Bombyx mori: one gene and its partners. The protein of the gene in region 2 binds, or shares a complex with, the protein of the main gene of each other region. Links are inferred from orthologs where the notes say so. Each region holds a gene or a part of one and is shown on either strand. Other genes may lie near its edges.

Region 1 (4,266 bases), on a different chromosome or scaffold from region 2:
CTTTTAATTTGACTTAGAACATCCATGGTTTTTTATTATAAATACTTCAAAGTAGTATTTAATTTCACATATAAACGCTTTTAAAAACCGAATGAGTAGAATTTTATCTATGAAGTGACTCACAAATGGAATTTCTTCATAGAGCTGAACCTTACAGCTATCGATCTAACTGTTCTATGAGTAACTGCAAACTCGCTAATAGCATCCACGGAATTATCGAACCGAAAACAGTAATACCACGTGAGAAATGCAAGACAATGCGAATAAAACTATGGGAATACGAGGCGTTGCCACAATCATAATTCACAAACAGTAGTAATGTCAGAAACAGGTGAAATACGTGTAATGTTCTTATTTAAAGCTGTTTACATCAACTGCAGTACTTACATAAATACAACAAACTGGTGCGATCTAAATTCGTTAATTTTATTGCTTCACTTTATTTATTTCAAATATTTAGTGAATAATTCACTTCACTCACTTTTAAAGCAAAACGTCATTTCATTTACCCAACTTATCCGTGGTTCAACCACAGTGCACAGACTACATATAGAAATTACACTGTTCTCTTTGGTCTCGCTATAATATTACGTCGTACGCGACGTCGGAAGAGGGGGATGGGGTTTCAAACACCTGTGCGTGCATAAGGCACAACAAAAATAACAGGTCGTTCATATAAAACAACCATGAACAGATTAAATTTAAACTGAATTTTCAATTTAGTATTGAGTAATTAGCAATTACCTACTTACAATACACACAATGATTGAACTTAACCAATTTAACCTATCACGCATCAATCGCGTCCTGGCGCTTTCAACTAATAAGTTAAGTGGGTCATAAAACTTTTGTATTTTTTTTTTGAAGTGAAAACTTCTTTAGAATCGTTGTGATTTCAAACCGGATGCAACGGAAAAAACGACAGGTAAGAGACACAAATACAAAAATGTGTAGGATGAAGCTAGCAAAGAATGAGACAGAAATATACATACTATTTAATACAGCGCCATCTGTGAGATTTTTTAATACTAACGTGTGTATAAATGCTCTTGTAGTGAATTTTAATTTAGGATTATACGTGAAATTAAAATATCAATTCACAGAGGGCGCTACCTTACAATTATTTACTAATGACAAAATATTACACATACTTAAGACGTTTAGGATAATTGTATTTTAATTTTGGAATTAATTTTGGAACCACGTTTACTCTGCTTTTCTGACGTATCATTCACAGAGAATAACCATTGAAGTAATCTCTCTGTCCAAATTTGGAAATTATTAAGTCCATTGTTTTCCAATAACCCAAGAAGCCACGCTTAGCGATGCTATGTCATTTTCCCACACTTTACCCGGTTACAGTCTTAAACTAATCAACTTCAGCTCATTTCGCTTCATGTCATTTTCCAATATAACAGATAGAAGAAAACAAAAAACTTGGCTTAAACGTCACGTTACCATGGCATAAAATCTTTAAAAATAAAAGAAGCAAAACAACTCTTATCAAAACAACTACCCCCTGATACCAAGTGTTTATGATATTTATTATCATGTTTACGTACGGAACTGTATCAAATGAGTTAAATTTTTAATTTTAAACGCAATAGTAAATGTGTAATAATGTCTAGCAGATTGGATATATTATGGTCACCGGCACATCATGACAAATTCATTGTTTGGGGCCCAGACATAACCTTGTACGAAGTGGCAAGGATAAAAGAAATCGAGAAGAAAACGACTTGTATGTATTTTAAATATAGCAACAATTTTATTATTTTAAATATAGGACACTACATATCTATAATAATAATAATAATAATGTAGTTTAGTCTTTTAAATATCTTAAAAAATATTTTTTTGAAGAAATCACTTTTAATAAAAAACACTAGACGCTTTTCTTGATAAGTACCAAAAGTCCCCAGTCAGTTTTTGACAAATTAATTGAAGTGTATCAAATTCAAATTCAAATTCAAAATCATTTATTTCAACTTAGATGTCAGTATGACACACTTGTTGAATGTCAAAATACAAATAACAATGTTAACTCTACCACCGGTTCCAAAAAAAAAGCCACAGTCCTGAGAAGAACCGGCGAAACAAACTCAGCGGGCTTTTTTTTTTGTTTTTTCTCAAATATTTTCTTTTTTTTTAAATAAATAGAAATATTCACAATAAAAGAAAAAACAAGTCAAAAAAATACAATTAAAAATAATAATAATAATAATGAAAAATGAAAAGGCCAGGAGCGAGCGCCTCATTCCCACGTAGTGCCATCTAGTAAATAATCCTTAACTTTATAATATGCCTTGTTGCACAAACGTTCCTTAACAGTTTTCTTAAATCTATGAACAGGTAGTAGTTGAACGTTTAGTGGGATCTTGTTGAAAAGCTGTACACCCAGCCCCCTAAAAGAGTTGCTTATTTTCTTAATTCGAGCCGCCGGCAACGCAAGCCTATGTTTGTTCCTAGTGTTCACATTGTGCAAATCGCAGACTCTGGGGAATTCTTCAATGTTTTTACGCACGTACAATAAATTTTCAAAAATGTATTGGGACGCTAAAGTTAGAATTTTGATTTCCTTAAACTTGTCCCTCAAGGATTCCCTCGGGTGCATATTATAAATAGCACGAATAGCCCTCTTCTGCAGGATGAAAATCGTTTCGACATCGGCAGCATTGCCCCATAGCAATATGCCATAGGACATAACACTATGAAAATAACTAAAATAAACCAGGCGTGCCGTATCTTCATTAATATACATTCGTATTTTTTTTACCGCAAACGCTGCAGAACTAAGCCTACTCGCTAACTTGCATATGTGAGGACCCCACTGCAGCTTGGAATCAACTGTTATACCAAGAAAAACTGTCGAATCCACAAGCTCCAGTGTCTCTCCACTTACAGTAATATTAGTGTCAACTTGTCTAACATTAGGTGTGGTAAATTTTATACATTTTGTTTTTTTGTTATTTAATAACAGATTATTAACACTAAACCAATGTACCACGCGCGAGATAGCATCATTCACATCGTCATAATCTTCCAAATGTCGTTTAATTTTAAACAATAATGATGTATCATCAGCGAATAATACGACCTCGTGACGGGTTTCAATAAACTTAGGTAAATCATTGATATATACAAGAAATAGGAAGGGACCCAATATGGAACCCTGAGGAACACCCATATTAAGTAAGACACCGGAAGATCTGGTTCCTTTAACGTCTACTTTTTGGATTCTTCCGGATAAATAAGATTTAATAAGTTCTAATGAAACGCCCCTAATACCATAATGGTGTAATTTCCTCAACAATGTATTATGCTCAACACAATCAAAAGCTTTAGATAAGTCGCAGAAAACCCCAAGGGCATTATGCGACTCTTCCCAAGCCTGAAAAATATTTTTAATGAGATCTACACCTGCATCAATAGTTGACCGACCTCTAGTGAATCCATATTGTTTGTTATGAAGCAGGTTATTGGAATTGAAGTGGTTCAAAAGTTGTTCCTGAATAATTTTTTCAAAAATTTTACTCAATGTAGGTAGTACTGAAATGGGCCTAAAGTTAGAGGGGTCAAAAGTACTACCAGATTTAAATAAAGGTATTATTTTACTATATTTCATTAGATCAGGAAACACACCACCATCAATACAGTCATTAAATATTGTAGCAAGGTAAGGTGCAATTATATCAATAATGGATTTTATAACATTAATTGAAATTCCCCATAAATCACCAGTTTTCTTAATATTAATGAGCTTGAAAGTATCAATTATGTCCTTTATATCAATATTTGTGAACTTAAAGTTAACACTGCATTTATCAACATGATTTTGCAGTAATGATTCGGCGACGGTAGGAGATGAAATTAAAGATTTTGTGGTAGAAGCTGGGATATCAGCAAAGTAGTGCTCAAAGGCGCTGGCCACTTCTTGATGAGAAGTTATTATTCGATTATTGATTTTTAAAGTTAATTCAGCATTGCTGTTTCTGACATTCCCAGTCTCCCTATTAATGATATTCCAAGTCATTTTAATTTTGTCAGGTGCATTTTTTATAATATTGCCTAAGTGCAATGACTTGGCCAATGTACAGACTTTTTTAAACAGCTTGGAATATTTAGAGACATACTCATGAAATGACTTATTATGATTATATGATTTTTCATGATAGAGATCGTATAATCTCTGCCTACTTTTGTGAATTCCAACAGTCGCCCATTCATTGAATGATCTTTTATTATGTAAGATCAGAGTTTTAGAAG
Region 2 (3,950 bases):
CTTTAACCGCTGAATCTACCATCTCATCGGAATCACGATCCACTGAGAAGATTCGGCTAGAAACTCAGTGAGCCGTGTCTGTGGGTTAAGTTGCACGACGAACCCTTTCTCGCATTCGATAGGCTTGACGAGAACGGTGACCAGTGCTTGGAATGCCTACAAACACCGAAAGTGGATTGGGAGAATCTGAAATGACGTGTTTAATGCGACGGTAACTGTTTGTCGTGCGTTAGTCTGATTCGAGTACTTAATTTTCCGAGGCCACGCTAAGAGGATGAACTGGAATTACCACTAGGAGACATTTATTAAACAGACAAAGTGTCTAATCCTAGCTAGTGTTAAATACATTTGTACTTCATTTTCGGGTTGCACGTCTATCCTAGCGTAATTACAGCAGGCAGTTTTAACTCTCGAAGCTATCACAGGACCTGGCAGTTTTTTGTTTGCCAATATGGGGAGATACTACGGACGTTTTGTTTGCATCCTCAGACTATAATAGTCCTATTATTAAGATGCTGAGCTAATAGTGAAAGCTATTTAAAAAAATACAAAATAAACATAAAAATATGAATCCAAAGTGAATCGAAATAAGAATAAATTGTTGATTTGGTTTGGCAGTAAAATAAACTGCTTGCGATTGATGTGAAGCACGAACTTATTGAATAGTAAAAATTGTAAATTTACGATTACTAATTTTTCCATAAAGTATGAAGCAAATTTTTTATTATTAAACTAGACTTTGTGGCGGGAACGCGAGGAACGAAGTTGTTGAATTGTTTTATTTTGTCTATTTAGTATTTCTTCAGGTTTAAATGTGTAATAATGATGGCTTATTAACTGTTTAGTATGTGTGAAAGTGCACAAAATTAAATGTGGGAAAATTAAACAAAGCCGCTGGACGTAGCTTTTCGAGATCCTCCAAAAGCCCACTGAAAAAGTCTCAGTAAATAACCATTTCACAGAGATTATATTTCATCCCATATCATCTAATCAAATTTAATATCATAAATTTTATTAACATCAACTTTATTGCGTTTCAGTTCATATAATATTTTTTTTTAAATATATATAAAAGTTAGGCGTTATGATACGATACGGTTGCCTTTCCAGTTTTAAAAATATAACTAGTAACACTAAATAAAAAATGTCAAATGTCAATAAATGACAACTTGTAAATAGTCTCTAAATATTGTCTTTCAGGAACAGTTTATGTACATATCCAAATAGAAAATTAAAAATAACTAAATAACTATACATCATGTTAAATATTAAAAATCTTGGGTAATATAGAGATAATTTCGATTTCATAAAGTCACTCTTCGGAATGTCAGTTCACTGGAGTTCTGAAATATTAAAATGGGAATATCGCGAGCTCCAGGCCACTGCAATGACCGTGGATTACACGGGCAACAACGTACTACTAGCAGGTCGCAGGTGCCTGGCCATAAAACAAATAAATCAGGAAGAAGATGGCAACGCGGTAAAAAAATATCCTCGCCAAAGTAAATATGATGCTGCCGGTGCTGAGTGGTGTCAATCGTATCACGGGCAAAAATTATGTGCTATTGCAGTAAGTATTTTAAATAAAAAATCTAAAACAATACTAAATTTAAAGAAATTATTTGATGATTTGAATATTAAGTGTTTTGTGAAATCTGGAAATAGCATCTCAACTGAAGCAATTTACTAAACATTTGAAAAACCTAAACTTCCATTCCGTCCATACATCGGTTGTAGATTTTAAACCTTTGATTAAATTCCGAAATAAAAGGCAATTTTCTGAGTAACACATTGTACTTCAAATATTAATTTAAGAAAGCTCACAAACCGTAATATTATATTTTTACCAAAATTGATTTCTGTATTATTAGGTCTATTTCTTTTTGTTTAATTTTTCACATTATTTTAAATAAAATAGTAAGTTATTTTTAGAGCAACCAGAGAGTTGATGTGTATGAATGGAGAGATGGCAATGATTTGACATGTATATGTTCACTCCGTGGCCACACACGGGTTGTTAGTGACACACACTTCCACAGACAAGATCACAATCTTATAGCAACTTGCTCCATAGATACATTCACTCATATGTGGGATTTGAGAGATGCTCGAAAACCTGTTGTGTCGCTATGTGCAGTGGGTGAGTTTATACTTCACATCATAAATAGATTAATGGTTCATTTTTTTTTTATTTACTGCATAGATGGGTGGACGAGCTCATGGCCCACCTGGTGTTAAGTGGTTACCAAAGCCTATAGACATCTACAACGTAAATGCCGCCACCCACCTAGAGACATGAGTTGTAAGGTCTCACTTTAACAGTACAACGGCTGCCCAGCCCTTCAAACTGAAAGGCATACCTGCTTCACGGCAGAAATAGGCACTCACAAGACGTCCTACCACCAGATTACCAGATTCCTTCACCGTTGAAGTTAATCGTTAAGTACTATTTTTCTTACGTGAGTAATTTCTACGTATATTTTTTTGCTGCCATTAATGTTAAGGTGACTTAAGTACATATCCCGTTATTGAATTTTCAATTGTATTCCAATAATAGAATGTAAACCATAACAAGAATGGTTAACAGCAGAAATAAGCAAAATGTTTGTATTCAAATTTCAGCTGGTGCTTCACAAGTGCAGTGGAATAAAGTAGCATCACACATAGTAGCCACAGCCCATGACGGTGATATTAAAATATGGGATTATCGAAAGCCATCCTCTCCAATACATTACATATCTGCACATTTATGTAAAATCCACGGAGTAGACTGGAGCCCGCACCATGAGTATCAGCTAGTTACATCTAGTCATGATGGAAGCATTAAATACTTTGATATTAACAACGCAAGAAGACCTGAGAATGTAATTATGACAAACTTCCCAGTATGGCGAGCCATTTATACTCCATTTGGCAGTGGTTTGTTGACAATTGGTGTGGGCTGGGGTGGTCTGCCTCGTGCTGAACAAGCGGGAGTTATTGGTATATGGGTTGGAGGTACTCTAACACATAGACTAGTGGGACATACAGACACGGTTCAAACTATGGTGTGGAGATCAAATACCTCCCCATCAAATTATCAGTTGGTTACATGGGGAAGAGATCAATCTTTAAGAGTTTGGGCTATGCATCCATCTTTGTTAAAAATGTGTAACCATTATCTACCAGATGATGAAAATGATGAAGACAACAATAGTGACGGTAAGACAATTTAAATTAATTATACATGAAATTGTCTTAGTCACTAAAGGGCAGTGTTGCATATGATGTATTGTTACCCAATCCCACACTTCAATCTTCATGTTAGTACTCACAATTTTCAAAGATAATTGATCATTCTTGACTTAATCTATACATATATACCATTTTTGTTGCTATATTTGTAAATCTTAATATATTGATTTTTAAAATTTCTCTGGTTGTATATTAATCAATTACATTTGAACTTCTTTTCATACAATCGTAGTTCTTCATGTCATCTGATCATGTTGTACCACATCAAAATATGGGGCTTTTTACAGTCGTTTCGGCATGTCTACAATTTTCTAGAGATGTCACAGTTGCTTTAATATCCGTTTTTTGCTATTTGAAGACAAATGACTTACTTGTACCTGCATTACAATATTGTTCAAGTAATTAAGTTAATTAATTATCGTTATCGGCATTCTTTTGGCTGAATGCCCTGGTAATTGGCAAAGACGATATTTTACCGAATATCATCAAAGTAGAATGGTAAACATTTATATATTTTCAGCAGTGAGCTATGCCTCTACAGCTGGTTCAACAAATGATGTTTCTTTTGGTGACAAAGGACAAGATATGGTAAGTTAAAGGCAGTGTCTCTAACTTATATAAAAATAAGCATAATAATATGTTATTACCTGAACACAATTTTCCATATCAAGATTTCTTCGCAGAATAAACTACCGCATAAAACCTCAATAGATGAA
Region 3 (4,175 bases), on a different chromosome or scaffold from region 2:
GATATTATTTCAATAGATTATTTTAGCTGTACTTTATCTTTTGCTACTTTTTAAATTAAGATTATATATTATATATATATATTTTAATGTAATATAAAATGTACACTATTTAATTTGAATAAAGAGCTTTTTTTACATAAATCTATTTTGTTTCAATAAAATTCCAATTTAAGTAACGAATTAGTAATTTTTATTTACCAACATTAAATGTATACAAAGATAATTTATTTCACTATATAAATGGAAGGAACATCACTAGTTTTGAAGAGAAACCGAATAATTATAATTGTAATAACTCATTTGGTTCTTTTCTGAACTAGACTTTATACGAATGTTTTTCATTTCATGATGTTTGTACTTGTTTAGGTTTTGACCTGAATGGAATTAATATTAAATTCTTTGTTCCTATTAAAGCACTTTTGGTGGTAAATTTTAACAGTTGCAGTAACTTCTTGGCTGTCAATACAAATAACTCCAAAGTAAGCTGTGAACCTTTTCTCCAATAAACGATATATGCTGGAATTGGTGGGAGATTCTCAGACCAAATGCCGTTTCTGAGGCTTTTTGCTTGTGCTTCTGCTGATAATAGAGCAGGGGCAATTTGTGACTCAATGGTATTCTTTTTTAATTCTTTAGGAAATGATGCTTTTGCAAATCCAAGCTCCACCAATTTTTTACCAATATCCAATGTTTGAACATCTTTACTCTGAAATGGAAAACATTTTTGAAGAGTAATTTTTAATAATTTAAGGTATTTTGTTGAATTTGTTTAAATTGAAATATACCTTAGGCTGAGGTAAATGCAATAATACAGTAGAAACTAGATCATCATTATCTCTTCCGATTGGCTTTAATGTCACTTGCTGGCCCCTAGCAACACATTCCAGCCAATTGACTGCATTCCCACTAACTACTTCAATTCCCCACAGCTAAAACAAAACAAAAAGAAAATATTTTTATTACTTTGTAGGTAAATTTTCGTACAAGTTATATTTTTATCACATTTACCTTAACTGGTAGTGGAGGTTTACTGGAATGCCATAGCGGTAAATATATTGGGGCTTTGTGATTGACCAGAACACGAACTGGTGAATGTTGCACTCCAGCATATAATCCTTTCAAAGGTTCATGATTTCTGATGAAATGATCTGGAACTTTACTGGCTTTCGAAAACTTGCTAACCTATCGAAGTAATTTTATTATTTATAGTTATGTAATTATTAATATAGGGTTTTTTAAACAAATACTTACAGGGCGAATCTTATGAACAGATATGGCGAGACCAGCGGTGGCTAGAGCATATACTGCTATCTGTAAACAACAATCAGATGATAGTGCTTCGTTTACAAAGTTATTATTATCAACATCAACTTGTAATTATCTACATACGTTAACCCCGCGATAATCTTGTTGTAATAAATATTGCATGTTGTAAAATATTCCTCCTTCTTTTTGAGACATTTTGATGTCTACAGATACGAAATTCTCATAATTTCTTAAACTTTCGTAAATTAGCTCATCAATATTTTCAATCCAATTCTGAATTTAGATGAATGAGAGAAAAAACAGCTTCAGACTTGTCAGAATTTTTGTTTGATTCTACTAGAGCTCTTTATTATCTTTGGTTAACTACCAAATGTAACCTGACACAGTGTTTAATCTTTGGTTATTACTTACATAAAGCATAGATTTTTTAATTTTTTTGAGGCCTAGTCTTGATATGTCAATAAAAGTATCTTCATACAGTTTAGGTTTAGCTATAAATATAAATGCTTAAAACTTTTGGGAGATACTTCATAAGTAACGCGCAAAAAGTAATAAAGAAATAAATAACTTAACCAAAGATTGTGCTAACCTAAGGTTAACAAATAATACCAAAGAGGTAATTTATGACCTCTAACACACGAGCGGCATTCTGGCACTAAAATATTTGTGCTTTTTTGTAGACTGTGTTGGAGCTATGTGATCAATAATCTCGAATCATCAAGAAAATCTCTAGCTTCCATAACAAAATTGATAAAAAGAATAATTCAGTTGTAGCGTCGCGTATGTTGAAGCTGCAATTTAATTCTGCCACTTTTTATTATTATATTGTTAAACTTACCTAATAAGTTTAGAGGTGACGCACTGCGACTGTCTTTGCAATGTCGAAATAGCTCGTGTGGATGGATACAAAATATTTTACTGGTAGCACTGTTGAAATTCCACGTCAACTGATTTGACAGTTGATTGCCCATTTTCCGTTGTGTATTGTGTAGGTTAATAAAAATATATAATAATGATCACTGTTTTGAATACTATTGATACCGGCCATGAAGATATGATACACGACGCCGAACTGGATTATTACGGACTAAAACTAGCTACATGTTCTTCGGATAATTCAGTGAAAATATACGACATTAAGAATGGTACACAAACATTGGCTGCTGATTTGAAGGGTCATTTTGGCCCCGTGTGGCAGGTAGCTTGGGCTCATCCCAAGTATGGGAACCTATTAGCGTCATGCTCTTATGACAGGAAAGTTATCATATGGAAAGAGTCTGGAGAGTGGACTAAACTATACGAATACACTGGACACGAAAGCTCTGTGAACTCTGTTGCGTGGGCGCCGGCTGAGTACGGCTTAATCCTCGCTTGTTGTAGTTCAGATGGCTCAATCTCTATCATACAATATTCACAAGATACTGGTAATTGGGACGTAAAAAAGATAACGGGTGCACATGCCATTGGTGTTAATTCTATTAGTTGGTGCCCAGCTTTATCTGCAGATTTGAACTTAGATCCGCTTACCAATAAAGATGCTCCAAAGAGATTAGTTACTGGAGGGTGTGATAATTTAATCAAGGTATGTTACAAGTTGTGTTTAATTGTTTACTGACTCTGTATTACAGTAGTTAGCACTCCTAACTGTTGCGCCACAGAGAATCCTGATTTGGGGCCAGATGAATGTGTGTGATTTATTCCGGGTTATTTATTTATAAGGCAAAAAAAGAAGGCAGCAATTTTTCTTTTCACAATATCATATATTGCATGCATTAGTTAATTTTAAATGAAAATAGATATATTTCAACAATAATTAGTTGAATTTTTTTAATATATCTACCTAAAATTACCTTGTCCTTTATTATCGATATGTTCTTAATAAACCCTGTATTTAATGATTACTATTTAATGACATCATAATGCTTCTTAATTATAATTTTTTTAGTTAGTTATTCCGGTTGTTGTTTTCAGATTTGGAGAGAGCAAGGTGATCAATGGGTTGAAGAGAACAGATTAGAGTTGCACATTGATTGGGTCAGAGATGTAGCGTGGGCACCCTCTCTGGGATTACAACGTTCCATGATTGCCAGCTGCTCCCAAGACAAGAGGGTTGTCATATGGTCTAGTGATGATAATGTATCTTGGACACCAACAATATTAAACACATTTGATGATGTAGTATGGAGTGTTAGCTGGTCTCTCACTGGCAACATCTTGGCTGTATCAGGAGGAGATAACAAAGTCAGCCTTTGGCGTGAGAGCACTGATGGCCAGTGGTTATGTATTAGTGAAGTTGCCAAAGGTTTGGGCCAAACACCCAATGATGAAAGAAGCACACTTTGAATTTGCTTTTAATTTCATTTGTTAATTTTGTAATCTGCTAATAGTAATATAAAATATGTACATTAACACTGATCTTTTATAAACTTCATCAAAACCCAGATTTAATCTATATATTCAATTTGATAATCCAATAATTGGGTTGTGACATATCTAACAGGTTTTAAATAAATTGCTATGATTATTATTACTGTATGTATTGAACATGGGCTGAGGAGATGAAGTCACTATTGTCAATGTACACAATAATTTTCAATTTGATAGTATATTTTATAGAATTTAAAGAGATATTTTTAGTTTAAAGAGAAAAGTTCACATGTATACTTGACATGGAAATAAAAATTAGAGAAATGTACTTTTCACCTTGGAAAGTATGTTGCCATATGTCGCCAGAATAACTAGAATAGGTAAAAATATTTGGGTTCTTGTCTTAATTGTTTGTGACAATAGAAATAAAACAAAGGGACATAATATATATAAAAAAAATTATACTTAAAATACAAACTATCACATGTTTTTAAGATTAAAGTCAATTTGTTCTAACAATAATGGCATCTGATAATATTCGG

Evidence for each region.
Region 1: the proteins of GATOR2 complex protein WDR59 (region 2) and GATOR2 complex protein MIOS are in contact, whole or in part, in a cryo-EM structure (PDB 7UHY), measured with the Homo sapiens proteins. The link is inferred for Bombyx mori from reciprocal best matches to the Homo sapiens genes WDR59 and MIOS. Residues at the interface, in NP_085058.3 of Homo sapiens: Tyr871, Arg876, Glu877, Arg879, Ala880, Glu881, Leu883, Lys884, Pro889, Pro890, His893, Lys894, Gly895, Ile896, Glu897, Phe898, Gly899, Val900, Tyr901, Arg906, Glu908, Val909, Arg910, Thr912, Phe922, Gln923, Ala925, Ile926, Cys927, His928; in NP_001357005.1 of Homo sapiens: Asp705, Trp710, His711, Arg713, Ala714, Ile718, Ser721, Lys728, Pro729, Leu730, Ala731, Gln732, Val733, Phe734, Val735, Ser736, Cys737, Asn738, Phe739, Ile744, Lys780, Pro781, Leu782, Pro783, Leu787, Cys788, Leu789, Gly793, Pro795, Gln819.
Region 3: the proteins of GATOR2 complex protein WDR59 (region 2) and protein SEC13 homolog are in contact, whole or in part, in a cryo-EM structure (PDB 7UHY), measured with the Homo sapiens proteins. The link is inferred for Bombyx mori from reciprocal best matches to the Homo sapiens genes WDR59 and SEC13. Residues at the interface, in NP_085058.3 of Homo sapiens: Ala525, Tyr526, Gly527, Asp531, Ala532, Asn533, Ile534, Pro535, Phe536, Pro537, Arg538, Thr539, Ser540, Gly541, Ala542, Arg543, Phe544, Cys545, Gly546, Ala547, Tyr549, Val551, Phe553, Thr554, Arg555, Met557, Ala644, Gly645, Lys646, Val647; in NP_899195.1 of Homo sapiens: Val4, Ile5, Asn6, Thr7, Val8, Asp9, Thr10, His12, Asp14, Met15, Ile16, His17, Asp18, Ala19, Gln20, Met21, Asp22, Tyr23, Tyr24, Gly25, Leu28, Val42, Pro59, Trp61, Gln62, His67, Pro68, Tyr79, Ser105, Asn107.

The regions. Positions count from the first base shown.
Region 1 is NC_085114.1:15,850,642-15,854,907, reverse strand, and holds the start of GATOR2 complex protein MIOS, read left to right. Parts: upstream 1-1,466; 5' UTR 1,467-1,620; coding exon 1,621-1,741; intron 1,742-4,266. UniProt on the Homo sapiens protein: As a component of the GATOR2 complex, functions as an activator of the amino acid-sensing branch of the mTORC1 signaling pathway. The GATOR2 complex indirectly activates mTORC1 through the inhibition of the GATOR1 subcomplex.
Region 2 is NC_085110.1:13,175,512-13,179,461, forward strand, and holds the start of GATOR2 complex protein WDR59, read left to right. Parts: upstream 1-1,150; 5' UTR 1,151-1,324; coding exon 1,325-1,570; intron 1,571-1,932; coding exon 1,933-2,140; intron 2,141-2,622; coding exon 2,623-3,201; intron 3,202-3,754; coding exon 3,755-3,822; intron 3,823-3,905; coding exon 3,906-3,950. UniProt on the Homo sapiens protein: As a component of the GATOR2 complex, functions as an activator of the amino acid-sensing branch of the mTORC1 signaling pathway. The GATOR2 complex indirectly activates mTORC1 through the inhibition of the GATOR1 subcomplex.
Region 3 is NC_085131.1:3,993,752-3,997,926, reverse strand, and holds protein SEC13 homolog, read left to right. Parts: upstream 1-1,461; 5' UTR 1,462-2,278; coding exon 2,279-2,848; intron 2,849-3,237; coding exon 3,238-3,609; 3' UTR 3,610-3,675; downstream 3,676-4,175. Other genes in the region: uncharacterized protein LOC101741756, read right to left, coding at 344-706, 786-929, 1,009-1,182, 1,252-1,311, 1,390-1,461; DNA polymerase epsilon catalytic subunit 1, read right to left, coding at 4,114-4,175. UniProt on the Homo sapiens protein: Functions as a component of the nuclear pore complex (NPC) and the COPII coat. At the endoplasmic reticulum, SEC13 is involved in the biogenesis of COPII-coated vesicles.